4 linked regions of the Rhinolophus ferrumequinum genome follow. The protein of the gene in region 1 purifies or fractionates together with the protein of each later gene. This does not show direct contact. Links are inferred from orthologs where the notes say so. Each region holds a gene or a part of one and is shown in the gene's direction. Other genes may lie near its edges. The genes, in order: RICTOR, FLNA, PRR5L and TUBB.

Region 1 (7,845 bases):
CAGTGAACAGCTTCCTTAATAAAAGCAATGTTTTATGAAAAATCAACAAGCGGTTGCTATAAATGAAATTTAAATATTAGGGATTCACAGAAGAACAGAGATAGTGCCACATGTGATAGTTTCATATAATAAAGACCTTTAAAATACAGTTTAATTTTCACATACTTTGGAAAGAGAAGGAGAGTGACTATGAAAATCTTTTGTACCATACAGATGTTTGATACTTATTGAGTACCAAACTTTTTTTTTCATGACTGGTGGTTTACAGTGGCATGTTATCTATCAGATTTTTTAAAAATATTAAATCTAATCTTTCCCTTCAAAGTAAATGTGAAAACAATAACTAAGTTATTACTCATCAAAAGAAACTTGTGCTACAAAGAGAGCATTTAGGTATTTGAAAACATTTCCACAGTTTTGTGATTTTTGTGTGTGTGAAGACAATTAAAAATATAAACGTGTCACCTTTGTAATATTTACAAACTTAAAAATCTTGAAAACAGTGTTTTTTAACTGCTTAAAATCTTTAGACGAAGCGTTTTAAAACCATTTGCTAAAAATGTTTAAATATGCCTTCCAGTTGGCTTTGAAAACAGGTTGACATTAAGAGAGATATTTATTAGCCAAATTACATAAAAAACCTTTTTATAACTAAGGAATGGAATTGAAAAATGAGTGTTATGATTTAGAACTGCAGCCATTAGAGTAGTTCTACCGTTTTTAATTTGTATTTTGTGAGGTTTCAGCTACTAAATCCCAACATGTAAATAAACCTTTCTTAGAATTAGACTTTTGAGTTGCTGTATCTCAAAATTTTTAACAAGAACTTTAAAAAATAATGAAATATATTCAGCCCATTGCTTTTATTTGTGCCATAGCAACATAACATTAAAAATTACTTTTAACTATTTTTATTTCATGTTTATGTTTTATTTAATAAAAAAAGTAAATATACATGTATTGGAGTATGTGGACAATTTTTTTTTTTAATGAAGAGATGCACAATTTTCATAGGTCCATTACTTAACACATTATTATAATCAAATATATATAATGGTTGTTTAGGATCACCAACAGAATTTCTCTAAAATAGTTTCCTTAAAAAATACACAAGTGAAATTTTGTTTTAGAACAATTAAAATGAGAAAAAAAGTTAAAAATCACTCAAAATTCTACCAACCAGAGATAATCACTATTGAAATTTTAATGCATACCCTTCTCGATTTTTATGAATATATGTACCTTCTTTTTTACAAACATAGGCTTATTCTTCATTTAAAATTGTGTTCATAGAGGGCCTTTATACCTTACAGATTTTTTAAAAATGAAATTTAAAGGAGACTTTTGTAAGAGAGATTAAAATTTACAGGAACAACAAATACTAAAAGGCTACGTCCTGCTGTGACCAAAGCGGAATCTTTATAATCAGCCCTGTGTAGGATTATAACATTTGTTGAATTTAGCCCATTGCCTGTCATTTTAATGGCCTTTATCTAGATGTTAAATGTCTGATTTTACTATAAAGAGAAATTACCAGAAAAGAGACTGACCAAATATTGTGGTTTTTGACTTGCTTTATCTTCACATGGCCTATGGAAGAAGGCAGATAGATAAAGAGAAATAAAATTTTTGCAAGACTTTGTTTAATGTTACCACTGCATCTGAAACTGATAAAATTTTGTTTATAAACTAGAATTATTAACTGTGTATAATAGGATAGAAAAAAGAACCCAGAGTGTGACTATCAATGGAGACATTATATCTTCAGCTTCAGGATCCAGCAGTTATCTCTTAGAGGTGTGGTCCTGGACCCAATCTCATATAACCTTTTTTATCAATGACTAATACTATGAGAAGAAAAAAAAACATTCATTCACACAGCAAATGTAACCTAGTTAGGAAATGAAAAGTAAGAAGAGGAAGTCACATTCTCAGTGACCAGATTAGAATCAAAATGACCCGGAAAATTGGAGAAGTAGTAACAAGTAAACACAATGAGTAAGACTTGGGGTAGGCTAAAATAAGGAAGAAAAACAAGTTTCAAAAAGAGGAGTGGCTAGCAATTGGCTAGTATGGAAAATAAGTTAGAGATTTTAACAAATAAGCTGACTAGGATCAATAATGTAGTGCTGTTGTTTGAAAAGCAAACACAACATTGTGAAATGTATTCCTTACTAAAATTTACCTAAACTTCTGCTTCCTAGTTGAGTGTTATTTGCAAACACTAAGAACTTGTTCTTTTTACCAGAAATGCCATTCACCTTAAGAGCAAATGTGGAGAACACAGCCACTCAAATGACTGAGACGTAACAGAGGAAAAACTAGTTTCATTGTAAGATGGGAGAAAGTTGATTTCTTACTTCTGGAAGAGATGGATTAATTGAATAATGATCTTTAAATATGAACACACAGTTATAAAGAAGAAAGGCTATTGGATTCAGGCTCTCATGTACCTTTAGTAATTTAAAGGTGGGTCAATTGTTCTCAACTTTCATGAAAGACTAAATGAGAGAAGAAAGTGAAATTTTATTAGTAAGGAGTTAATTTAGAATAGACAGGGATAAGAAAAATAGTATAAAAAGTGTTGGTTGGAATTGGAACAATTTTAAGAATCTGGTAGACTTTCCATTGATAGATTTCTTCTTTTCTAAAATGGTGAAATGTGATGCAAGGAGAGATGAAATACAAAAATTTTCATGTCCTAGCCAGACCTCAAGTTTTGTGATGTCTGCCTTAGGCTGTCACTATAATCATTTGCACCAAGGCTTAAAAGCTAGAAAAGAGGTTGCAAATTTGTCACTGAAATTAGTATTGGTGATATCAGGAGATATTTTTAAAAATTACTCTAATTCTGTTGTATCCTTGAATCTAAGTGCATTATCAGCATGAGACATCTGATTGCAGACCCAGTAAGAAAAGCAGCTGGAATATACAAACAGAGTACATTTTAAAATTACAGACAAGTAAACAAGAACAAAAACTATATATGTAATTCCACCACTGAGGGAAAAAATAATCAGTTAACATTTTGATGAGACTTTTCTCTATTGTGTAACATAACAGATATGTAACATATTTTATAAAGTACTGTATACTTTTAATTTTATATTATTTTAAACATTTATGAAATGGGAAATTTGTGATCTCTCGCTTGATTTAATATCCAGAACATTATCTCCTATAAATATACTAGACCTGTATTGTCATTTTTAATGGCTGCAATAATTTGCATAATCTTTGGGTCAAGTGTTTCCAATTTTAGTATCTCCAATTTTTTTTTAAAGCATCAAGAGCTTTGGAATAAAGAAGGAATCCGAGCATTTACTCAACTAACTGATTATACGTATATTGAACATTTATTTGTCTGAACACTGCATTAACAGGAAGCTGGGAAAAGAAAAGTGGTTACGGCAAGCTCTCCAGTGTCAATTAACTTCCAGTCTCACGGAATAGAAAGACAAGAGTTGAGAAATAAGAGGCAACAAAACGCCCACCCTCTCTTTAAAGTTAATCTAGTTTAAGAAAAAGCTGCTGGGTCAGGGGCCAGGTGTATATACATTAATCAGCTAATGCAGTTTCTAGAATTCAACTCTCCAGAGTTAGCAATTGTCCACATTTATATTAGCCACTTTTGTAGGAGATATACAGACAGAAAACCCGGACACAGCCCTCCTCAGCCTGTCCTCCGTTCCAGGCAGAGAGGAAACCCTTTCCCCGAGCCTCCTGGCGTCCGTGCGGGCGCGGCACCAATCCCATCCGCTGCCCGGGACGACCACCCTGCACTCCAGCAAGACAAAACCCCCCACCAGACCACTTCCACTTTTACTAGTAGCACCCTGGCCGAGTGTGGCTTTGAAGATCAAATGCAAGGCTGCTTAGTTCGGTGGTCAGAGAGCGAGGGTGGAAAACAAACTTTGTTACGTGCGTCTTAACTTGGTGGGAGCAAAAGGACTCTAGGAAGGGAACTGAGTTATGTTAAAACTGCGCAGCGTTTTGTTTTCGTTTTTAATAAAAATCGCTTTAACTCCTGTATTAGGAAGGGGCGTGGGGCTGTCTATCTCAGAGCTTGAAAGCAAGCATGAGAATCATGCAGGATGGTTTTAGCAGGTGGTCAGCCGGCCACATCCCGGCCTCCTCCCAGCTCGCTCCGGTTTTGACTACGGTTCCCGCCGCGGCAGGAGGGGAAGCATCCTCCAGCTATAAACTCGTATCAATGGGATTCCCCTCGTGGGAAATGTCCCCTCCCAGCAGACGTGCTCCCAAGAAGGTCAGGCGCGCCGCCGCGCGCCCTCTCGTTCCCGAATGAGAGGACGCGCAATCGCAAGCTCCACCGAGACCCTGAGTCGGCACGGAGCTCGCTGCGCCCCGGGTGCGGAGTCGCCGCCGCCGCCCGCCGCCCGCCGCTGCGGAAGGGCGGGGGAGATGCTGCTGGGGGCGGGTGAGGCGCGCGGGGAGGGGAAGGGGTTCTCGCGCGATTGGGCGAGGTTTCCGGTGTTGTGACTGAAACCCGTCAATATGGCGGCGATCGGCCGCGGCCGCTCGCTGAAGAATCTCCGAATACGAGGTAAGCTCGCTGCAGCCCTCATCCCCACTGCTTGGCGCCCGCCACCCCTGGCACTTGCCTCCCCCTGGCTCTGGGCGGAGGGAGCAAGCGGGGCTCTGGCCGGAGCCAGGTCTGCCGCCGCTGGCCTGCCCTCGAATCCTAATTGGGTCTGTGTGTCTATTTCACGCAGGGCGGAATGACAGCGGCGAGGAGAACGTCCCGCTGGATCTGACCCGAGGTAACGCGGGGCGCCGCTGGCCCCGGGGAGGGCGCGCTGCTGGGAAGGAGCGGGGTCTGGGGGCCGGGGACAGGGGCGGGCTGCGCACGGGACCGGTGGGGGTGCGGGAGCCAGAGCCCTAGCCGGGGGCCGCCTCCCAGGACCCATCCCCCTTCCCAGTGCCTGCTTCCCTCGCCCGGAGCTCTTCTCCGGGCCTCTGGGTGCTGTGGGTGCCGGGGAACACCGAGCGGGACTCGGCGCGGCCGGCGACCCTCTGGATTCCCTGGACCCCCAAGGAAACGCTTTACTCTTATCCCGGAGCTTGTGCAGCCAAATCCTGGGGGCGGCCGGAGGGAGGTAGAGGCTGTTATTTAGGTTGCCGGAGGATGTCGGGGAAGAGCGACCACATCCTGCCTTCCCCGTCCCCCAGAGCAGAAGCCGGACCTGCTCGGTTCTGGCTGACTGCGTGAAATGTTGTCTCTTTGCCCACCTCCCTGGGGGACCCGTAACATTGATAACTCAGTAGTGAAACCTAGAGCGGGTGAATACTGCTAAGTGTCTGATCTACGCTGTGTTTCCCTCCTGTTTCCCTTTCCCGGGCGGCTGGGATTGTAGTTGGCAAAGACCGCCCCCTCACCCTCGCTGCAGGTTCATTGTTTACCTTCTGCAGTGGCGCTGGGTTTGTTTACACCTTCGAAAATGGGTAAATCCCGCTTATATTTTTAAATATCTAATTCGGCTACTGGCCAGTATATCTTCTCAGTCATCGTACTGGAGTTTATTCGACAATATCTCTCTGAAGATTTAGTAGTTGTGTACAGGGTTTTTCTTTTCTCTTCCACGGTAAACAGGATTTGGTCTACTGATTCCGAAGAAGTCATATTTCACACCAGCCTTAGCTTAGAATACAACCTGGTTCAGCCGTACAGAATCAATTTCCTTTTTGAGACTCGAAAAACACATTAGGCAGTTTTAAAAAAAATGGTTGTAAATATTCTATATAAAATTAAAAAAATTTTTTAACCTATGTTGTATTTGTCATATTGACCATTATCTATCTACAGTGTTAGATGCAGGCTCATTGTTGAGGCTCATCTCTGTATTTAAACCATAGTGCGCGTTCTCTAATTTGTATATCATAATGTAAAATTACCATTTAATAAACTAAAAGGCTAGTTTTCCTTTAGCTACCAGAGTACATTTTTGTAGCAGTTGTTTATTTTGAAAGTTCAGGGCCTTAGTTTCGGGCGAAGTATGTTCTTTTACTGGCGGAAGAATTTCTAAAATACAATAAGGCTTAAGTATAGAAATGGCAACGAATTAGATCATTAATGGTATAAATTGGAACATTTTTTTCAGCAGATAGCGTTTGAATATTAGTGTAGAAAGATGTAAAGCTTTTGACTTTTGTGTAATATTTTGGAAACTTGACTATATATAACATACATTATGAACATGAAATGTACATGAAATATATTAATATATGGGAAAAGATTTTCTAGTAAATTTCCTAACAGAATTCCCACAAGGCCCAAAATTAGCATTTGAGTTCTGTAACAAATGTAGTTTATTAGTGATTTAATTTATATATGAGAATACATGTTTTAGATGAAAGTGAAAGAGCATTTAATAGATAGATCTTGAGTCTAATTTCTGCATTAAAGACCTGCTTGGATGTGGTGCTAGAAATAAGTTACAGTTTGTTGATGTCAAAATTTTGGATTGTGAAAGAGCTATGTACAGTACAAATTTGATGTGATGCCTTTGGTTTACTCCAATTTTCCTCAAGTACACAGATAACTCTGTATGTTTACTATATAAAATGCAATATTCCCTGAGCATTTAGTAAACACCTATCTATATGTCCATAGGCATTTCTAGGCAATACAGAAAGTACAGAAAAATGGTATTTCTACTTTCTCTGACAAAATATACTTCAGTTTGGAATGAAATACACACAACCAATTGAAACTGATTGCAAAAACAATATACAACTAAGAGTGAGAGGTTATATGAGAACTGTATTCCTAAATGCTAAGGAAGTTTAGAAATAAAAGTAATATGAGTTAGATTCATTATATAGTGATGCTATTGTTTAAGAAATTGCTATTCTGACAAACATTTCATTGTTAAAAGAAGGCTTGTGGATCTAACATGAAGAAAAGTTCATGAGGAATTAAACTTTAGTAATAATTTGAGAACTGGGGGGCAGTCTGGGTTGCAGCTGAAGGGCAGCTGTTTGTGGATTGGATTACAGTATGTTTTAGATAAAGTTTAGGTAACCAAAAATAATATATATTTTTTAATGGTAAGGCAATGTTTGCTCTCATCCTAATTTCTTTTAATGCAACATTTGAGAAATTCATTGTGTAGGTTATTTAGCAAAGTTCATTATAAAATGGAGGTCATGGTCATCGTAATTCCTTTAGGAAAAGAACAAATTGTAAAGTCAAATAGTTCTGGGTTGTAATTCAGCTGTGATACTTAATAGTTAGGTGATTTGGGGCAAGTTATTTGACCTTGCTTAACTCTTGGTTTCTTCATCTCAAAAAAACGAGGTGGGTAGGTGGGGATAGAGAGGGAGAGAACAAGAACGAACTTCAAAAGATTATTAAGAATGTGAAAAGTAAGTGAGCTAGTGCTTAATGGAAGTACTCAGCATAGGACCTGACATTCTGTGAGTGATGTTAATAAAATGCTACTTGCCTTCCTACACTATGAAATCAAAATAATTTATACCACATTTAAAATATTTCAAATGATTGTTTTGAATATTATACACTTGTTAATAAAGAGTTATGGTATTAAAGTTTTCATTTTTTTGAGGCATACTATTAAATTGGATATAGTTTGTTGAAAGTATAGTTCTTGAATATAGCAATTGTAAAAAAGTAATGGGAGATTAACAGTAAATTAGGTCTAAGCAAAGAGCAGTGTATTAGTGAACATAAGATAAAAGGTGGTATTCTATTTTATAGAACCTTAGAATTTTTCTCCCTGACTCCAGAAAATTTCCTTGTAATAATAACTTGGCTGGCCTTGTAAGTGTCTTGAAGCCCAGGAGAGTTTTAAGGTTCTTTGGTTT
Region 2 (7,397 bases), on another chromosome or scaffold:
GGCGGGGCTGGTGAGCCTAGACGTCACAAATAGTCAGGATTGGCTAGTGGAGAAAGAGAGGCGGGGCTTGAGAGGGAGCCAAAGCAGAGCGGACCTGTCGGATGGTGGGAGTGGGCGGGGCTGCACGGCCAGGGGAAGGGGCGGGGTCGACGAGCCGTGCGTCACAGGCTGTGGCGTTTGGGCTAGACGGGAGAGAGGGGCGGGGCCTGCACGCGAGGGCAAACAGCATAGACTCGCGTTGACAGGGGAGCGGGGCGGGGCCGCAGAGTCCAAACGTCACCGGCTGGCGAGTTCGGGCGTGAAGCGAGGAGGGACACGGCCGTGCGAGTGGAACTGGCAGGAACCGGCCAGAACGTGGGAGCGGGGCGGGGCCGCGGTGCTTGGAGTGGCTCGCCCTCCTTAAGTTACGTGGGCTCCGCCCGGTCCCTTCAAGCCACCACAGCCCCCATCCCCCAACCTCCAGGGCTCCAACGTTTGGTGTTCCCCGGCCGCCCCGGCAGCAGCGGGAAGGGGCCCGATCCTAAGGGCGAGCCCTTGGACAGCGCGGGTCCCTGGCCAGGCGCTGCTGCCAGCTCTTTGAGCGCGTGCGCCACACTAGGGAAGTGGCCCCGCAGAGCCCGGAACCTAGGACGACCCTCAGGCCGACCCTCAGACCTCCTGCCTCAGGACGGCCTTTCTGCTCTGCTTGGCCCTGGCCTGTGCACCTGCACCCTCGGTCCCCACAGCTTCCCCCGCTACCTGCTCCACCCAGGAGGAAATGGGGCACTGGGCCAGGAGGCCGCCAGCACTCCAGGAGCAAGCAGCCTTGGCAGGGGCCGGCCCGTGCCAATGGGCACTGGCAGAGAGTGCCGTGTGATGCATGCAGAGACAGCGAGTGTCCGCCTGGGGTTGCCGTCCACCTGGGGCACTGGGGGTTTCCTCTCCAGTCTGAATGGCCCCTGAGCACAGCGTGACCCCAGGAGATGGCCAGGCGTGGTCCCTTCCAGACCCAGAGTGGCCTGCTCGGGGGTTCCAGTAAGACTTGGCAGGCTCTGAGCCCCTGGGTCTGGGTGGGCTGCAGTGCCTTGGCAGTGCAGAGTCCCTCCCCACCAGGACCGACCGGAGGGCCAGAGGACCGAGGGGGGCAAACCACAGAAGGCTGCGAAGGCCTGCTGAAGAGCCTGGACGGTCACTAGGAGTTGGTAAGGGCCTTGGTCAGTAAAGAGCTGTCCAGTGGAGATTGGAAAGGAGGTGACATGTTGTAAACAAAGACAGCCAATGGAGTGTGTGGCCAGCTGAGATGCCCCTCCCTGGGCAGGCCCAGAACTGGGAGAATGGGGAGATGAGGTGCTGTCCCTGGTCTTATAGATGATAGCTGGTGACAGGGAAAGCAGAAGTAAGGAGGGCTCTGGTTCAGACCCAGGCTGGCTGAGCCAGCTGGTGAGGGTCACAGACCAGTTCTCCATGGAGGTTTGATTATGGGGTAGAGAAGAGGCAGCCATCCAGGGAGTGGTGAGGAGGTGGGGCTGTGGTTTGGGAACACACAAAGACTCTCAGAAGAGTTGCTGTTGTCTGGGTTGTTAGAGGAAAGGTGAGGTCTGCTCTGTCCCCTAAAATATGAGGAGGAAGTATGTAGGTCACAGACACGTGCATGCATGGCTTCAGAGCAGGGAGGGAAATGGCGTTGGGGTCTGGGCCACTCGAGGCTGCCTCATGGAATTTTGAGTTTTGGCAAGATCGGATTCCCCAGCACCTCTCCAAGCCTTCTTCTGCAATGCTGGCCCATGTCCCAGCGGCTCAGTCCTCCCCCATGCCACCCCTCCCTGTACACATCTAAGCTGTTTCCTTATGAGGTCAAGGAATTCTAGGTTTGCCTTCTCCCCAAGGAACACCCCCTCCCTGGCACCTGCCTCGGCACTCTGCTTTTTATGTCCCACGCCAGTTGTCCCAATATGAGGTCCCACCATCGATGGCACCAGGAGGCTGAACTGTGATGGTCCCCTGCGTTCACCCCATGGCTACCTGGCACCCACGACCAGCCCCGCTGCAGCACAGACCCATCCCAGACCACCAGGAACCAGGACGAACCCTTGACCATCAGAGCTGAGAGTCCCTCTGCAGCACCCCCATCAGGAAGAGGAGGAATTGGGGGGCCAGAGAGGGAGGATACTTGTCCAAGGGCCCTGAGTACTGCAATTCATTCATGGACTGTTCCCTCAGCCAGTACCGGATCCTCAGGTCAATAATCTGGACAGTCTGGCACAGCAGGGGTTCCAAGTCCTCAGCGGGGCTTTGGGGAAAATCTGAGGCCTCCAGGGGAGTCTTCCTGGGAAGGGTGGGCAGAGTTAAAGAAGCTGAGTTTCTGTGGTACTGCAGCCAGGGTGGAAAGGGCTAGGAAGCCGCCGACTCCAAATCAAGAGTAAGATAGTTTCTCCTTTAAGGACAGAGGGGATGGCTTCTAAGCACTATATTGTATAACTTGCAATCCCAGCCAGATTGAAAGTTATAAGGAAAAAGAATATCAACCTGAATATATTTCTCAGCATCCATGTCCAAGGAGATGATTGTTCACTGAGTTATTAATGTTTTCTGTAAGATCAGAATCTTCTTATACTTTAGTACTAAACTTCTCTTCAAGGATGTTAGAGATCCTTTGGATTTTACCTGGTATGTGAATGCTTTGAAACATTGCTCAGGTAGTAACAAAAGTCATAAGATGATGATTATTGTGAAAATGTATGTGTGGATGATTGTCACAATCAACATAAAACACTGAATAGTTAGCTGACCTAAAGTCTCTCAAAGAATGCCTCATGTTCCAACCCTAGAAGCATCGGTTCATGTGGGAGCCGTTGGCACAGCCAGTTGGAGAGTGAGCCTGCCTTGGCAGCAGCAATAGAGCTGATTCTAGTGGTTTTCCAAAACCTTCAACACAAGGAGAAAAAGTCTTTCATTTATGACGGTTATTACCAGGGAACAGTTGGTGCTGTACAAACCTTCGTTCCCCCTATACCTGGAAGAAGGAGAGACCAAGAGCTGTGTGTATTTCAGGGGTGTGTGTGGAGGGCGAGAGAGGCAGTAGTGGGAAGAGAGGATTCACATGGAGGTGGGGCGTCCTGAGATCCAGGCACGTGGCCCGCCTCCTTCGTGTCCCCCAGCTCTTGTACACATGGCAATGCCTGTGGTAGGTGGGTTTCCCTCCTTGAAGGATAGCCTTGGCCATGAGCTCCAGCACAGCCACCTTATGGACCTGAACTCAGGTCGCTCCTCTATCAAGTGATGGTAACCCACCATCCTCTTCAGCTGTGGTGGTGGGCGGGTCCCACCAGAGGGAGCAGTGAGAGTTGGAAATCCGGACACTGCTAGGAGATCCCACCATGGGTCAAGGTGGAAAGGTCAAAGCAGAGCTACCACTAGCAAAGGCAGGAGTGGCTGTAGGGAAGCTTGGAGGGTGATCAGCGCCTTCCTGTTACTGGTAAACTGTAGATCGCCAAATTCTTTTAGCAGGTGTGACCAAGCTTCTTCCTTCCATTTTTATTTCTTTCCTTCCTTCCTTCTTCCCTCGCCCTCTCTTTTAATGGAGTAGAATGGAAAATATCAAAGAGCTTTGCAGGTACTAAGGGAGAGTCTTGTTTTGTGAAATGTTTGTTTTAATTATTTGTGTTTGTGTGTGCGCATGCACATGTTTTATGTGGCCTTCTTCGGAAGTGACATTTGAGCTGAATCTGAAACTACCAGGAAATGGGCAGAAGAGGAAGAGGGAGCCTGGCAGTGCCAGGGCATGTCTGTGCCACCCGGCTCACAAACACTTGGCTCTTTGGCTGCACCTCACTGTACACTCTCAGGCTTTGGGACTGCATCTGATTGTGCGCCTAGGAATTCACCACTGTTCTGCTGCCCCCTCCCTGGACTGGCACCAGGCAGGGGCCAAATCAGTGGCAGCCAGGCTGCTTGTTCATCACCGTGGACTCAGGTCCCTGCCCCACTGGGGCCTTGTGGGTGGTAAGTGCTCAGTGAAACACACCTGCAAAGATCTGTTGTCCCCACCACCCCAGAGGGCAGAATCTGATTTGACTGGCCAGCCCAGGCTTGGGGCAAAGGTAGGGGCAGTGACTGTGGGTGGCTCCCTGGAGGAGGTGGCCTTTCCAGCTGGGTTGAGACGTGAGCCCTGCAGACCCCACGGGCACTTGAGGCAACCTCCCCCCATCACCCCGGCAGCCTTCACCGGGTGGTGAGCTCATCGGGGGTGGGGGGTGGGGGGTGGGGAGCGTCACCAAGCAGCCGGGGCGCTGAGCTCACGGCGCGCCCCCGCCCCCCGGCCACTGGGCGATTTTACCAATTAAGGCTTTTTCGCCCAGCAGGGCGCGGGGCGGGCGCGGGGCGGGCGCGGGGCGGGGGTGCGGCCAACAAGAAGGCGGGCAGCGGCGGCCCATTCGCGTGGAGGCGCGCGGCGCGCAGCGGACGCCAGCGGAGCCCAGAGGCGCCGGGCGCGGGCGCAAAGGCGAGCGGGGCGCCACCCTGCGGTTGTGGGCCGCCCACAGGGACAGCAGGTGAGGCAGGCCTCCGCGGCCCGGGTCCGCGCGAGACGGTCACCGCGCTACTCGCGGACCCGGGGCGGGGGTGGCGAAGGCGAGCGGAGAAGTCCCGAGAATGTAGGCGCCGGCGGGCACGCAGGCCCAAGCCAGGTGCAGCTGGGGTGCGTGAGCGCAGTGGAGGAGCCCCCTGCGCCTGGAAGTGCTGTGTCCAGGGGTTCCCTTCCCTAGTGTACCTGTGAAGCTGTGTCTGTACCCAGGAGTGTGGGAGCCCTAGGCCATGGGGATTCCTGAGAGAGGGTGTCTGAGCTTTTGGCAGGATATGGGCTCGCATGGATGCTCGTGAGCTGGCCACTGACTGACTGGGAAGGACTGTCTTTGGAGCAGGACATAGTGTGGGCTGAGGGTGAGTGGCTACCTGGAAGGACACTTTGCAGCCAGTGTTGGGTTCTTCGCTGGCACCAGTCCTTGGCATCAGCTGCCTTGGGCACAGGGGAGCTGGTTCTGGGGCTGCTCTACTCCATGGGGGCCAGGACAGGGCTGTGGCCAGGCACAGGAAGCAGCGTCTCCTTGGACGGGCTAGATTCCTGGGCTGAGCCCTGGGCCCTGTCCCAGGTTGGCTCTGAGCTGGATGTTCACCACCAGCCAGGATGTGAGCTGCAATGTGCCCAGATTCTCATGCTACCCGGCTCCAGGAAAAGTAGGCAAAGTCTGTTGGCAGGCCCACGTGCATGTGCTCCAGGCTGCAAGGTCAAGGTGGGAGCTCAGGAAATGAGTGTCCTCACCTGCCACACCTGGACTTGCCTTGGCGGCCCAGGTCTCTTCTCACCGTGCCATTTTGAGGCTTGCTTCACCAGCTGACGTGCCCCTGTGGGAGGGTCTGGCCTGGGGTCTGAGGGCCAGCTGTGGGGTGGGGGGCGGGGTATGTTTAACATCCAAGAATCTACTCCAAATAAGGGAAAATATGAAAGAGCTGGATTTAGGCTCCCAAGGATTGACTGCCTGATCTGGGGGCTCTGGGATGGGGCGCCATCTGGTGGTAATACTATGTCCCCTAGGGACAAGAGCCCTCTACACCCCTATCACTTGTCTCCCCCAAATAGGGGAAGCCGAGGGCTGGAAGCCAGGACACCCAGCTCTGTCTCCCTTTCTGCTGGAGTTGACTACTGGTCAGTTACTGACTCAGTTTCCCTGCTCTCTGAAGATTAAGGAATGAACACCGATGACCCAGTGGGATGGCACTTAGTATTATAAAAAGAAAATCAATTCTTGATGTAATGCTGTCCTGGGACACATGCTTTCCAGTCGGGCAGGGGGAGCAGAAGGACCACTCAGCCCGTCTTGAATGGGGCCTGGCAGAGAGGGGTCCATCCGGGTTCCCCCTTCACAGCTCTCCTTCCCACCTCCACCCCAGTTCCTAGACACTGTGGTATGGGGTTTTGTGCAGGTATGGTTGAAAGTGGTCAGGAGAGGGGAGAGTGCACAGGTGGGCCTCAGATTGGAAAGTGTTATTTGGAGTCCCTACCACCACCATTGGTGAGGAAAAACCAGTGGGGTGACAGGCAGCCTGAAGCGAGTGTGCTGGAGGGCAGGGGAGATGCCAGCTGGGACCACCGTGGGTAATGCTGACCCTGAGTCATGCACGAGTCAACCAGCCATATTTGGACATGACATGCTGGCTGAACCAGGGCTTTCTGTCCCACTGGTCTTTAGCAGATGATAACTTAATTGCTACTAGTCTGCAGCTCAATCTAAGAATCAAGCAGGAGGGACAGAGACTTAAAGAAAGGAGCATCCTGGAGAGGGGGGGTACACAGAACTGGGAGGAGTGATTCCACTCTGGGGATGAAGCCATGGTTAGGCTGGCTTCTCTTGGTTGGAGGGTGTCAGTGTGTCCCCAACAGGCCTCTTGCTGGTCTCCAGTTCCCTACAGCAGCCTCCCCACTGTCTCCAGAGTTATCTACCAGAAAATTAATTTTGAGCAAATAGTTCCCTGTTGCCCTCTGGACACAGTCCAGGTTTTTCAGCAGGCCTTGGCAGCCTTCTGTGGTTTGCCCCCCTCGGTCCTCTGGCCCTCCGGTCGGTCCTGGTGGGGAGGGACTCTGCACTGCTAAGGCACTGCAGCCCACCCAGACCCAGGGGCTCAGAGCCTGCCAAGTCTTACTGGAACCCCCGAGCAGGCCACTCTGGGTCTGGAAGGGACCACGCCTGGCCATCTCCTGGGGTCACGCTGTGCTCAGGGGCCATTCAGACTGGAGAGGAAACCCCCAGTGCCCCAGGTGGACGGCAACCCCAGGCGGACACTCGCTGTCTCTGCATGCATCACACGGCACTCTCTGCCAGTGCCCATTGGCACGGGCCGGCCCCTGCCAAGGCTGCTTGCTCCTGGAGTGCTGGCGGCCTCCTGGCCCAGTGCCCCATTTCCTCCTGGGTGGAGGAGGGAGGAGGGGAAGCGGTGCGAACGGGAGGATGCAGGTGCACAGGCCAGGGCCAAGCAGAGCAGAAAGGCCGTCCTGGGGCAGGAGGTCTGGGGATCGGCCTGAAGGTTGGCCTAGGGTCCGGGCTCTGCGGGGCCACTTCCCTAGTGTGGCGCACGCGCTCAAAGACCTCGCAGCAGCACTGTCCAAGGGCTCGCCCTTAGGATCTGGCCCCTTCCCGCTGCTGCTGGGGCGGCCGGCTGGGGTGTGGCCGGGGAACCCCAGGCGCTGGAGCCCAGGGGGAGCGGGAGTGGCGGGGGCCTGTGGGTTCTGGGCGGAGCCCCCGTGACTCAGGGAGGGTGAGCCACGCCACCCCACGCAGGGGCCTTGGGGAAGGAAAGTCCCTTGTATGGCGTGCTCACTGGAAGACCAAGTGGTCCAGCGCCAGATGCTGCTCATCCTTTCCTTG
Region 3 (8,361 bases), on another chromosome or scaffold:
TAGTATCTGCTTGGCTCTTTCATTTCCTAAACCCACTTCCTTAGCAGAATTTGTCTCAAAACATGTTATGATTTCAAGCTAAAGAAAGACTGTCTAATTGTGAAATTCCAGAAATTGGAAACTGCTAAGGACGTTTGTTCCTCTGCCGTCTATCTACTCCCTTCTCTCCTATTTTCTGTGAGGGTGTTGTTCCAGCCCAGGAAAATAAACCCAGGTTGTCTGAGGATGAACCCGTACCTGAACTAAAATATTTGAGAACCACATTGTCCTGGAGTCCTGTGTCCCCCTCTCTTGTGTAGCCTTTCCCTCGTCTCTTCTCCACGGAGTCACATGGCTTGATTCTTGTTTTCTGCCATAAACCACTATAAGCTTTGGGTTTAACTCCTTCCTGTATTCATAGGGGCCAGCCCAGTGCTTCCAGTGAATTGATTTTGAACAACATCCACAAAGTGCTCAGACTAAGATTAATTTCTGTGACTTTTTTTGTGGGGACAGTGCCTTATTATTTGCAGGACTGTGCTTTCTTGCCTTCCTTTAGAAAGATGAGCAGTGTCGTCACCAGCTTTCAAGATGGCCCCCAATGATCCCGGCCTCCAGGTATTCACATCCTTGCGTAGTCCTTTTGCACATTGTGCCAAGATTGGTCTGTGTGACCAAAAGCAGATGGCAGAAGGATGGTATGTCACTACCGGGATTAGTTATAAAAGATTGCAGCTCCTTGGTGCTCTCTAGTGTACCTGCTCTCTTTTTCTTGAATGTCTTGCTCTGGGGAAAGCAAGCTGCCATGTTGTGTGCAGTCCTCTGAAGAGGCCCATGTGGCAAAGAAATGAAGCCTCTGATCCATACTGAACAAGAAACTAAGGTCTTCTAGAAACCTCATTACTGACTTTAAGCAGATTCTCCAGCCCCGGTACAGCCTTGAGATGACTGTAACCTTCGCCAACATCTTGACTATAACCTCATGAGAGAGTCTGTGCCAGAACCACCCAGGTAAGCCACTCCTGGATGTGTGAACTTCAAAACTGTAGGATTATAAATATTTGTTGTTTTAAGCTACTAAGTTTTGAGGCAATTTGTTATGCAGCAATAATAACTAATACATGGAGGCAATAAAACAGAGGGACTTCAGAGTTCAACCTAACCGTATACATTATTGGCCATACCTTGAATAAATTCTTGAACTTCTCTGAGCCTGTTTGTACCTCTGTAAAATGATGTTGATCACACCTGTTTTGGAAAGTAGAGCTGAGTACTAGGTGCAACCCCAGTGGGAGGATACAGCTCTCTTTGCCCTCGGGGGCAGCTATATGAGAGGATCCCTTGGGGCTCCAGTCTGCCAGGCCGGGCCTCAAGCCTGCACCATGTCATCCCACTTTTGCAAGGCTTGCCAAGTTGCCACTACCATGTTGCTTTTAAAGGTTTTCCTATAGTCTAGGGAGCTTCCAGCAATTCCTAAACATAAACACTTTTATGGGAAGGAACAGAACAGAATGTTAGAGTTCATTTCTATAATTTGGTCCCCCTTCCCAGTTTTTCTTAGGCCTAATCTGATTTCTTTTCAATACTGGGTGTATGAATTTGTGCTTTCTTTCATTTATTTAATAAACTTGCTACTTGCCAGCCTCCATTCTAAGCCTCTTACACATTTATTGATTTATTTACCTCTCATAACAATCCCACGTGACACACAACACACACATACACACACACACACACACAACTATTATTTCCCCATTTTACATATGGAAAAACTGAGTCACAGGGAAGTTAAGTAACTTGCCCCAGGTCACACAGCTAAGTAGTGGCAGAGCCCATATTCAAACTTGAGCAGTCTGACTCCACAGTCTATGCTATTAACCACCAAGTTGTACATGTCTCCTTGTCTTCACATAGCTAAAGATTCATACTTCCTCTGTCTGGATGTCTGACTACCTTCCCCAGGGGTCAAGTGCAATCTAAGGGTGTTACTGGACAGTCAACCCAGTGGTATGGTGAGGATAAAATGATGGGTACAAGCGGTAACTTGGGCTTTGGAAAAACCCAGGTTCAATTCTCGGCTCCTGTGTACTTCTGGCAAGTTATTTCATGTCTCTGAACCTTAGTTTCCTCGTCTGTAAAATGGGAACAAAAATAATTAAAATATCTTTTGATCATTAGAAGGACCTCAAGGAAGACTTATACCCAAAAGAGGAAGGATTATTTATCTGGTGACTTCGTTCTAGCCACTGGCAGCACTAAAGGGCAGAGCTTTCCTGTGCTATGGGAAAAGATTTGCACTAGGGTGACCAATCACCTCCCACCTCAGTTTTCCTAGGAATAAGGGATTTCCTGGGATCCAGGACTTTCAGTGCTAATAGTGAGACAGCTCTGGGCAAACCACACAGTGAGTCACCCTCGTATGAGCCCTGAGCCTTTGAGGAAAAACATCCATGTAGAATGCTTGTCCTGTCTTCTCAAGTGGAGCTGATGTGAAGAGAGTAATATGGATGCAGAATTTTTAATAGAAGGTGATTAAGGGCAGCAATCTAAGTTTTGGGGGTTCTTTTTCGGTAATGGCTTTATTGAGATGTAATTCACATATACAATTTACCCAAAGTGTACAATTCAATGGATTTTACTATATTCACAGAATTGTGTAACCATCACCACAGTAATTTTAGAACATACTTACTAGCCCCGAAAGAATCACCATACCCTTTAGCTAGCATCTCCCCAACTCTCTTCATCACACCCCAGCTCTAGGCAACCACTAACCTACTTTCCTGTCTGTGTAGATTAGTCCATTTTGGACACTTCATATAAATGGAATAGTGTGGTATGTGGTCTTTTTATTGGTTTATCCCACTTAACCTAGTATTTTTAAGGTCTGTCCACATTGTAGCATGTATCAGTACTTCATTCCTCTTGATTGATAAATAATTTCCTTTATTTGGTTATACCACATTTTGTTTATCCATTCATCTGTTGATAGGCTGGATATCTGGCTATCATGAATAATGAATGCTACTATGAACACTTTTGAACGAGTTTTTGTGTAAATTTATGTTTTCATTTCTATTGGGGTATGTACCCAGGAGTTAAATTGTTGGGTCATATAGTAACTCTGTGTTTAACATTTTGAGGAACTGCCAGAATGTTTCCCAAAGTGGTCACACCATTTTACGTTCCCATCAGCATTGTATGCGGGTTCTAATGTCTCCATATCCTCACCAACACTTATCATTATGTCTTTTTGATTATAGCCATTGCAGCGGGTGTGAAGTGGTGTCTCATTCTGAGCAATCTTGGTTTGGAGTTGCGTTTGCATAGCAAGCACATTTTGTCACTTAGGTTCATTTAAAGAGACTGATGAAGAGTATGGGCACTGAAGTCCTGGTTACCTTCTTTATCAGAGGAATGTCTGCAGGAGGCGGATTCGGCCATGGGTCCTGTGGTCCTTCGGGGAGAGTCCCCCGCATTTCCCTGGTTTCCCTTTTCCTCACTCCCATTCGTGGACTGAGATGAGGCGCCATCCAGGGATGAGGGGCTGCTCTGTGCTTCTCGCCTTATGCTACCTTCTCTAAGCCAAGGTGTGACTTTGAAGTGACCTGATCCGCTCATGGTAGACTGCAGGCAAATTGGGGCCATACACTGGCTTGGAAATGTCATCTGTGTCCAGATCAGGCAACATAAGCTGCATGATTGGGGCTAACTCTGTACCAATAATGTTTGAGTTAACACAGTGTTTAAAAATTGGGACATAAAAATCCAAATTTCTGGTTGTCTTTTTTTTTTTTTTTTTACAAATTAACTGGCCTAGCCATGCTGTTCCTGTCTTTCCACATTGCAGCAGGTGGCTAGAACTGAGTCCTGGCTGACCCCTGAAGACTGGCTTGGGCTCTCAGATTCCTCATGTCCTCACAACTCTCTGTTGTGCCGCAGTTGACCCTCTCCATACATTTGTCATCTGCCTTCTCCCTGTGAGTATTTGTTAGTGCCACTTCCCTCAGGGACCTAAGGGGGTAAACTTACGCCAAAGTGGGCAGCAAGGCTGAATTTGGGGATTTCGGGTTCTGGGTTTCCAGCCCTCTCCACACCATCTCCTCATGAGTCTAAGCAAATTGTCGGGGGTAATGTGGACATCTCATTGGTCACTCATGCTTCTTGAGTGATTTTTATGGGCCAAGTACTGTTCTAAGAGTTTTACATGTTTTAACTCATTTACACTCACAGTAACCCAAATAATCCCCATTTACAGGTGGGAAAATGAATGGTCACAGAAAAAACTTGCTCACAGTCCATGGGTAATTAGTGGCAGAGCCAGGATTCGAAGGCAGGAGCAAATGAGGTCATTGTGTGAGTTTGTTCATACATAATATAGTGTCTGGTCCGTGATGTGGTTTCAATGGATGCTACTACGTAACAGTTCGTCTGGCCTGACCAACGGCTGCTAATATGCTGCATGGCTGGGCGTTGGTCCCAGCCAGGTGCCCCCTCATTAAAGCCAAGAGTTGGAGTAGATGATATACGTGTTTGGAGAAATGATATCTGTGATTCTCTTCAGCTCTAACTCTCAATGAGTCTCTGAAAGCTGGTTGGAGAAGGGGAGAGGGAGAGGACAGGCCTGAGGAGGCGTCCCCCGCTCCCATTGCAGAACACCATGGGCTGGGCGTCCAAAGTTCCTCTCCCAGCTCTGACCGGCCTGGTGGCTATGACTCCCGCACTCCAGAGCGCTTCAGACCCAGGAGGGCATGGTGGCCTCATTTCTCATCCTCCCGTCCCCAGGAGTGGCTGATAACACACAGCATTGTTCTCACACACACAGGGCCCCATTGTTCCCCTTCATACACAGAGAGGAGGCTGTAACAATGGCCTTGAATGGCACCTTCCTCTGCTTTCTCCAATGTTACACTTGTTTTGTCAGTTCTGGAATCGGCGAAACAATTATTTCCTGCGTGGGGTGGGGGAAGGGATATCAGCTTGTCATCTTTTCCGCCAGTCCTTAGGAAAAGGATCAGTGGGAACTGAGTGGAGAGCCAGACCCAAAGAGAGCTGGGGCTGTTGAAGTGTCACCTTGTCAGGAGGCTGGAAGGTCGAGGGGCTTCACCTCTCCCCTGCGAGGTGGGACCTGCCCTGGAAGAAGGAAACAAATCAGGTAACACAGGAGAGAGGCTGAGAGCTGTTGGCAGGGAGGGGGGTGGAGGCAATGGCTGAGGGTCCCGCCCCAGGAGAATGGGTTTCTGGGTTTAAGATATTCTGTGTGCTTGAGAGCCACTGCCTTCTGCTAAACAAATAAACAAACAAAAGCAACTGAGGTCACTCTGCCTGTCTGACCCCTATTCAATGCCTCTGATGTCCTTTGGTGACCAGAAACCTCAGGCCCCATGTGCGTGTATTGAGATGCTTGTTTCATTAATAAGAGCTGCTATCATTAAGCTCTTCCTATATGTACTGTATCTGTATACATATTACTTATGTATCTTACTATATCGATAGCAAGTATAGGAAACACTTATACAATGTGCTTCCCATTCTTGCTTGATTCAAACCCAGGCAGCCTGGTTTAAGAATCTGTGCTCTTCATCACCATGCTCCTTGTGTAAGGTTCTTCACAAGAAACCAAGTTCATCACAAGGCTTCACTTTGAGAGGCTGCGATATATAGTGATAATTATGAGTACTGAGTCCTCTGCCAGGCAATAGTCTAAGTGTTTCCACCTATTTTCTCATTTATCTCACACAGTAACCATATTGGATGGGTACTTTTATTATCTCCATTTTGTAGATGAGGAATTTGAAGTACAGAGAAGTTAAGAAACTTGCTCAGGGTCACACAACTGTCAAGTGAGCGCCAGGATTTGAGCTCAGGGCTCTCAGGCTTTATGTGAATTTAAAGTCCTCCCAGCCCCGTGGCTGGTTTCGGTTCGTCTCCTTGTCTGGCTCACTAGAGATGGAGGGTGGTGTTTTGTCTCTGGCTTCGGAGAACATCTGTACCATGGGTTGCAGCTTGAGGAATGCAGCTGCTCTTAAATGGTTTGTCTGTTGTCGTTAGCTTTTGTCTTGCTCAAAGAAGATGGAATTGCTCGATGGTGACCCGGAAGGAGTTTGGAATGATAATAATTGCTCAAGGAATGCCATCGTTTGTTTGGACAGAGACTGCGCTAAGTTGCCACATATGTAGGAGGACATATGTTAAATAAACAGGACTTATAAGGTTCAACTTTATTTTTACCTATCACTGCCCCTACAGTTTTTCAATGGAACCACACTCTTTCACTGCCCAAGTATGAAAATTAAGGCTGGTCCCTGACTCTTCCGGCTGTGTTTCTCATTCCAACACTGTCTCAGTTCAGCAACTGTGATTTCCAGGTCTGTGGAATAACCCAGACCTTCAAACTTTGTTTCAAGTGGAGACTCCTCCTCCTCCTCCATAGCGCCTGGAGCTGGGAAAGGCAGTCTGTGGTGAGTCTCGCACTTCCCACTTTATGCTTCCATCTGGCTCACTGAGGATTCTGACCCTTGGCTGAGAGAGGAGCGGAGGAGAGAGAGCAGAGAAAGAAAGGGAGCGGGAAGTTCTTACTTGGTAAATATTGTCGTAAGCTGGCATCTCACTGGCTATGCCTGGTGGGTATTTAAACCTGATTCTTTATCTCTTGGCACAATTGTGAGGATTCTTCAGTGAATACCTTCCTTCCTCATCTTTGGGGATTTCTGAACTGCCAGTCCCTTGAAGGTGGTTGCTTAAGACTCTTCCCTCAGGCCCCCTGCATCTGAACGGTGCTATATTAGTTTGCTAGAGCTGCCATAACAAATATCACCAACTAGGTGCCTTAAATAACACACATGTATTTTCTCACAGTTCTGGAAGCTAAAAGTTCAAGCTCAGGACGCAGGCAGGGTTGGTTTCTTCCCAAGCCCTGCCTTGGCTTACAGGTGGCGCCTTCTTCCTGTGTTCGCATATGGTCTTTCGCTCTGCGTGGGCACGGCTGGTGTGTTTTTGTGGGTCCAAATCTCCTCTTCTTCTAAGGACACTGAACTAGAGCCCATCTTCATGGCCTCGTTTGAACATATCACCTCTTTAAAACCTTATCTCCAATCACAGACACATCCTGAGGTGCTGGATGTTAAGGCTTCAACATACAAAGTTGGCGGGGGGCGGCGGGGGCCACACATCAGCCATCGCTGTGCAGTCAGAGTCTTTCTGTGGAAGAATTCCCACTCCAAAGGATCCACACGATCCACAAGTTTGCCTGTTGCACACCTCTGGCTTGTGGAAAATCTTCCACTACCCTGGCAAATCCAGTGGCACCACTCCCTCTCACTCCAGCTGGCCACCCCGTGTTGTGGGTTTCTCAGGCATGATTCAGACATCAGCCCTCGGTGATGGCCAAGCTCCCGGGATACAGAACCTTTGAGCTCACTCTTGGGGAGCAAGGAGCGGGAAGTTGGAACTTGCAGAACGTCTAGTGGTCACTCCAAAACTCCTCCTCTCCTCTCCCACCATCTTCCTCGTCCAACCTTCCCTGTGGGTTGGAGGTGGTCCAATAAAGGGGAAAACATTTTCTTTCTTAACTTCTCACGATGGTGTCACACTCCCTTTGGAATGTGGCATCTAATGTCTTGTGGCTTCAGCACAACCTGAGACTAAAAACGTTTTTCCGTCCTGCTGTGCATACAGCATCTCATTTAGTTTTCATGGAGAATCCTGTGAGAAAGATAATACCCACGTACAGCCGAAGGAGAAGACTCTGGAGCTCAGAAAGCTTAAGGAAGTCACTCAAGATAGATTGTTCAACCAGCAGAGGGAATGGCAGTCAAGATTCTGACTTTCATTCACTTCACCGTCACTCTTCTAGGCCTTCACCACCAGGGTTCTGAGAGCTTTTGCCTGCCGGATTTTATTCTGTGCTGGTAAAAATTTCCTTCTGAGCAGAATGTTAAAAAGGGAAAGAGGTTACATTCCGACCTGTGCTGCAGTTGTAACGCAGGGGCTGGTGCCAGGGTGAGTCAGGAACCTTCTCAGGTACAGTGTGAGAGGAGCTCCGTGCACCAATGGGAGCTCTGCCTGAAACCCCAGCCCCTCCCCTTGTATAACTTAGTGGAATAATGACCTAGGAGCATCTTTTTTTGTAGAAGTGCATAAAAGCCTTACTGTATTCGGAAAACCCTATTCGAGGCAAAAGGGACCATATCGTCTCACCTTCTATTTCCAACGAGGTGCTTTTCCTAAAGATGACTTCAAAATATAAAGGTAATTATTTCTGAGAAAACTTTGTTTAGATTTTTGATTATTGTCTTTGCATAGAAAAAGTCCAGGCCTGCTGTTGCCCATTCTTGCATAATTTCCTGGGAAAGGGAGGACAACCAAAGGGCCTGGCAGCCA
Region 4 (7,788 bases), on another chromosome or scaffold:
CCCAAATACTGCCTGACCTTTTTCTGGTCCGTGGGCACTACTAAAAATATGCAGTCGTCCTAAGGGCTCCAAGATACACCCCAAGGATTCACTGGGCCTCTCTGTCTCTTCCTCTTCTTCAGCCTCCCAGTTAATAGCCTGAGTGTCCTCCATGATCTGGGAAGGAAACACATTAGCAGCATCATAATCTCTAACATAGGTTCACACACACAGTCTCGGAGAGGAAACTCACAACTGGGGGCAAACCTGGATAGCTATGGAAGTTGAAGCTTCGCTTTATGCCAAGCATTCTGTTGTTAACCATCTGAAGCACTGAAAAAATATTTTGATCATGACACAGAATAAGAAATAAATTTTATCAGGTTCCAAGTTCACAACTAGATGCTCCTCGACTTACAATGTAGTTACATCCCAATAAACCCATAGTAAGTTGAAAATATCCTATGTAAAAAATGCATTTAATACACCTAACCTACTGAACATCATAGCTAAGCCTAGCTTACCTTTTATGTACTCAGAACATACATCAGACTACACTTGAGCAAAATCATCTAATGCAAAGCCTATTTTATAACAAAGTGTTGAGTATCTCATGTAATTTATTATGTGTATCACTTTTGCCATATTGTAAAGTCCCAAAATCCTAAGCCAAACAATTGTAACTTGGAGAATCTCTGTATATGCAAACACACAAACTTATTTATATAGACAAATGTTTTCAGAAACAATGGTTAGCCTTATTATATGCAATACACAGCTAGTTTTCATGTTATTCTATTTTTTTTCTATTCTATTTTTAAATGTCGATTTGCAACTCACTAAATTGATTTAATATCCACTACTGGGTTGCCACTCACAGTTTGAAAAACACCATGTTAAAGGGAGCTAAATTTTGCCAAACATTATGTTATGGTCAAGTATAGTAGCCATACAAGGCAGGAATTTAGGAAACTAAGGCTAAAAATATTAAGTATTTGCTCAGGATGACATATCAGGTAAGTGGAAAGGCAGGAATAAATGTGCTCTGGCTGCAAAGCCCATGCTTTTTACATTTTATCGGACTATCTCAATGTGATCAGATCAACTGACTCATTTAATAATCACAAGAACCCCGTAAAGTATTATTTATCTTCTATATCTCAGATAAAAAAACTGCAACACAGTTGGATTAAGAAACTTGCCCAAGATCACCCAGATTATGTCTCTCCTCTGTTTAATATTCTTTGACACCTTTCCAGGCCCATTGTATAAAACAAAATCTAAACTCCTTAGCAAGAGCCTCCACAATCTGAACCTCATGTCCTGCAATGTATTCCCTGCCCACCAAAACCGACAAGTTCAGCCACATGGACCTTCTCCCCAATCTTTGAACACACTGTCCCTATTGTCCCCCATATCTGCGTGCCTTAAACCAATTCCTTGGCCGGTTGCTCGTAGCTTTCTGGTCCAACTCCTACCCATCCTTTCCGATTCAGTTCAAACCTCCCTTCCTCAGTAAAGCCTTTCCTGGAGTCTTCTCTGCTTACTGGTGTTCCTGATGTATTCACATGTTCCACGGTGGTCAATGGACTTGCACATATCCTGACACTTCTTACTATATTATTACATAACCATTACTTTCTATTTCTGCTTTCACCCGCCCCCCCCAACCCCTCTCGGAGAACTGGACCATCAAAACTGTTTTTTTCCCTAGGGTCCATCATATTCTCTCAACAGCAGTTATTCTGCACCCGGAACCGTTACAAGTATTAGGGATATACATTCATGAACCAAACATAAAACTAACCCTGCCCTCCAGGATGTTACACCATAGAGTCTACTGATGAAAGAACCAATGAAAGCAGATGAAAACTCAAAATAGCAAGAGTGGAATTCACTTAGAGATGCCACCCTAGGGCGAAACCGTTGACAGGGAAAGTAGGACGCCTCCAGTGGAGACTCAGCGGATACCTACGACCCTCGGCTCCAATCCAATAGGCCAACCCCTTTGATCCCCACCGGGGTGGGTTCCCTCCAGGCCCAGCGGTCTCCCAGTGACTTCATACCTAAACTCAGGGCGGGGAGTCAATTAAGGATGAGTATTATAATCCGAAAAGAAAATTTCCTAGTCTCCTCCGCCCAGTCGTACCCAAGGCACGCCCCTCCCGCCCTCCGGGAGAACCAAGATGGCACCCGGGGAGCGGCGGGAGAGGCCCCCAACAACTCACCTACTTTGAGTCCCCGCGCGCGCCACCAATAACGGTCGCGAACCGAGGGGCGCGAGCGCTGTAGTCGGAGCCTATTCGGTGATTGGTTCCGGCTGCTGTCTTTCACAGCCCTGCTGCAAGCCGATTGACGAAGCCCCCAATGCGGAGGCAAGTCAAAGCCCCGCCTCCTGCCCGCCCACTTCCGGCTCAAAGGGCTGGCTTTCCCCGGGAGACTGAGATCGGTTGAGAGGCGGAGGTCGCGTGCGCGCTCAGAATAGCGCACCTCGATTGGGCAGCTCCAAGGGACCGCCCACTACCGCTTCACCGCCCACCGCCCCCTTCCCGCGCAGACATCCAAGCCACGACCAGAGAGTCTCCCTGCCGGTAGCGCCTAGAGGGGCTTTCCATAGTCGTCGCCCGGCGCATCTAGTGCGGCCAGAACGCCCTTCCTAGGTCTTCCCAGACATGGTGGCTGCTGACTCATAAATGAAAATGGGTTGCGGGTTGCAGTCGTGGCCTGAGGCTGCAATTTGGAGAACAGCCTTCAGGCGTGGCGCCTGAGGACTTCTCACTGCGATAGAAGTTCATTTCCTTTTGATTTGGCCCGTTTAGTAAAGTCATGTCATTTCCTCCCTGAGAATACAGCCCTGATAGACTTTTGAGGTCATTTTCCTAAAACAAAGATCCCTAGGCCAAAAGTGAACCGTTTTGCTAACCATCTTAAAGGCTGATCGAGTTCTTCCAAGAACTGAAGAAAGGATGATAAAATCATTTATTTAATTATCTCATACTAAGACAAGAGGATGGTAACAATTTTGACGTGTATGTAATCTAGAAAGTCCTTTTGCTTTCGTTACTCCATTCTGACCACAACAATCAAATAGGCAGAAGTAGATTTTACAGAGGGAAGTGAAGTTCTGCGAAGTTAAATGACCTAGCTAAGTTCCTACAGCTAAGGTAAGGTAGAGACAAATTAAAACAATTTTAAATTCCGATTTTAAATTCTGAACTCTCTCCACTACCACAAAATAACTACTTTCATTGTGATCATGCCCTAAAACATAAAACATTCTGTTATAAGTGGATAGAGGGGTCATACACAACTTGATGTTCTTTAAAAGATGACTGAGAGATGTGTTGAATTTAATGTGAATTAATGATGACCTTGATATCACATGTCGTCTGTTACAGTACTTACCACACTTTATTGTGTATACACTTCTCACCAGATTGCAAGATCTTGGAAGCCAGGAACTAATTCATAATCATTTTTTGTATCCCTAGCTTCTGGTTTGGTGGACACTTAGTATCTATCAAGTGAGTTAATCCCTGAGAAGCATGTCACTCTGATTTGAGCCTATCCAATTTTTCTTCCATGAATCCCCCCCCCCCCCCGCCATTTTAAAATTTCAATTCTGAGGCTCTTGAAAGGTTGCAATGGTCAGTCAATGAAATCAACAAATTGAGAAACCACTCACTTCATCAAAGTGTCTAAGGGCAGGCTGGAAAGACTCTGAAATTCTATCAGGTGTTTCACCCCATAATTCTTTTTGACAAGACCACAGTCTTCAACGCTGCTCCAAGAACCAGATCTCTTACATGGACGGAGACTTCCCGCTTCACAGATCCCAAGATATCAGCTTCTCTAAACCATTCCATTTATTCTTTGAACATACCCTCCAATTACATCTCTATCCTGCAAAGCCCCTGTTGCAATTATCATTAGAAAACATTCTAAACATTATCATTAGAAAACTCCCAAGGAAATAGCAGGAAGGCAATCCCCTCCTTCTTCCTGGGATAGCTGGGGAAGCAGCGGCTTAGTGAAGCTCATGCTTTCGGTCACCAAAGGGCCAGTAGTTAGATAGCAGAGCAGGGTGCCCGTTTCTCACCATTTTTCGCTGAGCTAAGCAGTCCTGTCTTCCCAAGAGCGACCACAGCGGGGAGCTTTCAGGGTGTGCCCACTCCACCGTCCAATGCCTGGCACCCTAGGGTTCCTAATTCCTGTAGATCCCAAACGACTCGCTTTTTGCATTAAAAAAACAAAACAAAAAACAACTCAGGCATAGAGGAAAGTCATCTTGGGCAAGGTCATTTTTCAAAAAAACGCCAAAAACCTAAAGCCAGTGTCCACCCATTTGTCCCTTCATTTTGCAGCGTGGACAACAATAGAGGACTACAACTCCCAGAGAAGACTGCGCTCGCCCAGAGCAGAGACCAATGGACATAGACTACCTAAACGGCATCGACTAATCAGGGCCTGCCTCGCGGAGGCTTTGTCTCGCAAGTGCTGCGCGGGAGCCTTCTCCCGCCTCCCAGCCCGGCGCACGCGCGCCCCGCCCTGCCCGCCTTCCCTCCAGCGCCCTGCCCTCTTCTTTCTCCCTCTCAGAACCTTCCTGCCGTCGCGTTCGGACCTAGCTGCTCCAACCTCCGGGGCGCGTCCCATCCTTCCAGCCTGCGACCAGCAACAGAGAAAAAAAATTACATATTTTCTTGCCCCGTACACACCTTGAGGCGAGCAAAAAAAAAAAAAAATTAAATTTGAACCATGAGGGAAATCGTGCACATCCAGGCCGGCCAGTGTGGCAACCAGATCGGTGCTAAGGTAAAGATTTTAAACCTTTTTTAACTCTTACTTCTTTTTGAGAAGAAAAAAGTACAAATTATGGAGAATGGTTGTGGGCTGTTTGCAGTCTCCATCCTTAGTCAATATTTGCCCCAAAGAAGTTTTATATGTATAACACATATTTGTAGCTATAATTTGCATTTGAAAAATGGAGAATTATTTTTCTTGACACTCATTTTGGGAAGCTATCAAAAGCACCCTTGAGGATTGGGGGGCGGGAAGACCGAGGTTCTGTAAGGTTTTACTTAAAGGAGATCTAACGGTCCGAGGGCCAGGGAGGGAGGGAGATGCGGAAACTCGCCGAGACAAAGCAAGGCGAGGTTCCCCCATGTGCATCCAACCCCCTTGGCGGGTCTTCGTAGGGCCAAGCCCGAGGGCGAAGAGGGGAGGTTGGGGGTGGAGAGCTGCAGTGCCCGGCTCCATAAAGGTGGGGGACGTGGTGCTGTAGGGTGGGCTGCACTGCGCGTTACCTCTACAAAAGAGTAGATAGAGATCTCCACGCGCCCACGATCCCCGTGGGGCAGGCCCATAGTTTTTCGTGGGTGGAAGGCTAATATGTGCTGGATTCATTTTGCTTCCTTTATTTCGCTTTAAAGAGACCCTTTCGGGCTTGGACAGATAAGAAAGAGGGCGGGAGAAGGGTTTTTTTTCTCTAAAGGGTCTCTCGGGACTAAATGGAAAGAAGAGGATCCTCATTTTAAGCAAGAGGGGAAAGCTAGTGAAGGGATAAAATTCCGAGACCAAGAGGGGATTTTTTTTTTTTTTTTTTTTTTTTTTGCGCGCGGGTACAGTGTAGCCGGGAGGAAGTGCGGCTGCTACGTTGTAGCAGAAGGGCAGGGCCCTGCAGGGCGGGGACTGTGGCCCTGCCGGCCACCAGGTGGCGCGCTAGCCCGAGCCAGGTCCCGCCCCTCGCGCGCTGAATTCGCGCTTCGGCTCCGCCCACGCGCGACCCCTCCCTTTGTCGATGGCTGGGCGCGCGCTTTTGCTACAGTCTTGTGGGCGGCTGGCGGTGGGCGACTGCGGCCCCTGGTTACCCCGGCTCTTTGTGCGCGGCGTGGAGGGGCGGTGCCCAGCGTGGGGGGCGAGGGGTACACTTACCTAATCAGGTTGGCTGCCTCGGCCTAGCCGGGTGTCTGCGATCTCCAGGCCTTTCCAGCTGGACATCATTTCACATTCCAAGCAGTGAAAGCTGCAGCTTTCCCAGGTGTGGGGGTGCCTAGGGGAATGGCGTGGCTGGCAGTTAGGTGGAGGCAGGGTCATAATCGGCTGGGACCTGAGACGTTGACGGTTCATTGTTCTTTCTCCACAGTTCTGGGAGGTGATCAGTGATGAACATGGCATCGACCCCACTGGCACTTACCACGGCGACAGTGACCTGCAGCTGGATCGCATCTCCGTGTATTACAATGAAGCCACAGGTGAGGGAAGGAGCTCCGGTCTCATCTCCTTTCCCACTTCTGGGGTCTCCACCCTTTGGACGAATCCATCCTCTCCCTTTGGAGATCTTCCTCTCTCTGATTCCCACCACCCATTGCCAAAGGCTAGCTCTGCTGCCACCTGGTGGCAGCGCCTGGAATCACAAGTTTAGGTCCCTAGCTGTCACCCAGCCCCAGTTTATTTACCTTCTAGGTACTAATTTTCCCGGCTATACATTCTTACACGTAGGTGGAAAGTATGTTCCTCGTGCGATCTTGGTGGATCTAGAACCCGGGACCATGGACTCTGTTCGCTCAGGTCCTTTTGGCCAGATCTTCAGACCAGACAACTTTGTTTTTGGTGAGTTACACAGATATTTGTAGATACCATATTCAATTTATTTGTGTGCAAGGGGACAGCAAGAGTTAGGAAATGATTGTTGTGCTTGAGAGTTTTTATAGGGCTGTGTTCTGGGATGTAATGGAGGGTGGGGGTGTGGCTGCCTTAGATGGTAAATTATGGGGGTGATATATCACTGGTGAGGGAGGAAAGTAGATCGATCCACAGGCATTGTTCCAAAAACTGAAAGGTGGAAACGTGGTTGTGTATGTGCCACATTTTACTAATCAAGCTTGCCTCCTGATTCCAGGTCAATCTGGGGCAGGCAACAACTGGGCCAAGGGCCACTATACAGAGGGGGCCGAGCTGGTTGACTCGGTCCTGGACGTGGTGCGGAAGGAGGCTGAGAGCTGTGACTGCCTGCAGGGCTTCCAGCTGACCCACTCGCTGGGGGGCGGCACGGGGTCCGGGATGGGCACACTGCTCATCAGCAAGATCCGGGAAGAGTATCCCGACCGCATCATGAACACCTTCAGCGTGGTGCCGTCGCCCAAGGTGTCCGACACGGTGGTGGAGCCCTACAACGCCACCCTCTCCGTCCACCAGCTGGTAGAGAACACTGATGAGACCTACTGCATTGACAACGAGGCCCTTTATGACATCTGCTTCCGCACCCTCAAGCTGACCACACCAACCTATGGGGACCTGAACCACCTCGTCTCAGCCACCATGAGCGGGGTCACCACCTGCCTCCGCTTCCCTGGCCAGCTCAATGCTGACCTCCGCAAGCTTGCAGTCAACATGGTGCCCTTCCCACGCCTCCACTTCTTCATGCCTGGCTTTGCCCCTCTAACCAGCCGTGGAAGCCAGCAGTATCGGGCCCTCACTGTGCCCGAACTCACCCAGCAGGTATTCGATGCCAAGAACATGATGGCCGCCTGTGACCCCCGCCACGGCCGCTACCTGACTGTGGCTGCCGTGTTCCGGGGCCGCATGTCCATGAAGGAGGTGGACGAGCAGATGCTCAACGTGCAGAACAAGAACAGCAGCTACTTCGTGGAGTGGATCCCCAACAACGTGAAGACAGCCGTGTGCGACATCCCACCCCGCGGCCTGAAGATGGCGGTCACCTTCATTGGCAACAGCACGGCCATCCAGGAGCTGTTCAAGCGCATCTCAGAGCAGTTCACGGCCATGTTCCGGCGCAAGGCCTTCCTGCAC

The links.
Region 2: the proteins of RICTOR (region 1) and FLNA purify together in Homo sapiens (affinity purification with mass spectrometry; 3 studies listed by BioGRID and IntAct, with this or other methods). This does not show direct contact. The link is inferred for Rhinolophus ferrumequinum from reciprocal best matches to the Homo sapiens genes RICTOR and FLNA.
Region 3: the proteins of RICTOR (region 1) and PRR5L purify together in Homo sapiens (affinity purification with western blotting; 3 studies listed by BioGRID and IntAct, with this or other methods). This does not show direct contact. The link is inferred for Rhinolophus ferrumequinum from reciprocal best matches to the Homo sapiens genes RICTOR and PRR5L.
Region 4: the proteins of RICTOR (region 1) and TUBB purify together in Homo sapiens (affinity purification with mass spectrometry; 3 studies listed by BioGRID and IntAct, with this or other methods). This does not show direct contact. The link is inferred for Rhinolophus ferrumequinum from reciprocal best matches to the Homo sapiens genes RICTOR and TUBB.

Annotation. Positions count from the first base shown.
Region 1 is NC_046290.1:25,886,282-25,894,126, reverse strand, and holds the start of RICTOR (rapamycin-insensitive companion of mTOR), read left to right. Parts: upstream 1-4,473; 5' UTR 4,474-4,515; coding exon 4,516-4,564; intron 4,565-4,733; coding exon 4,734-4,781; intron 4,782-7,845. UniProt on the Homo sapiens protein: Component of the mechanistic target of rapamycin complex 2 (mTORC2), which transduces signals from growth factors to pathways involved in proliferation, cytoskeletal organization, lipogenesis and anabolic output.
Region 2 is NC_046284.1:6,248,674-6,256,070, forward strand, and holds the start of FLNA (filamin-A), read left to right. Parts: upstream 1-4,386; 5' UTR 4,387-4,529; intron 4,530-7,397. UniProt on the Homo sapiens protein: Promotes orthogonal branching of actin filaments and links actin filaments to membrane glycoproteins. Anchors various transmembrane proteins to the actin cytoskeleton and serves as a scaffold for a wide range of cytoplasmic signaling proteins.
Region 3 is NC_046294.1:22,048,026-22,056,386, reverse strand, and holds the start of PRR5L (proline-rich protein 5-like), read left to right. Parts: upstream 1-4,985; 5' UTR 4,986-5,134; intron 5,135-8,361. UniProt on the Homo sapiens protein: Associates with the mTORC2 complex that regulates cellular processes including survival and organization of the cytoskeleton.
Region 4 is NC_046286.1:1,311,472-1,319,259, forward strand, and holds the start of TUBB (tubulin beta chain), read left to right. Parts: upstream 1-4,549; 5' UTR 4,550-4,734; coding exon 4,735-4,791; intron 4,792-6,121; coding exon 6,122-6,230; intron 6,231-6,477; coding exon 6,478-6,588; intron 6,589-6,877; coding exon 6,878-7,788. UniProt on the Homo sapiens protein: Tubulin is the major constituent of microtubules, a cylinder consisting of laterally associated linear protofilaments composed of alpha- and beta-tubulin heterodimers.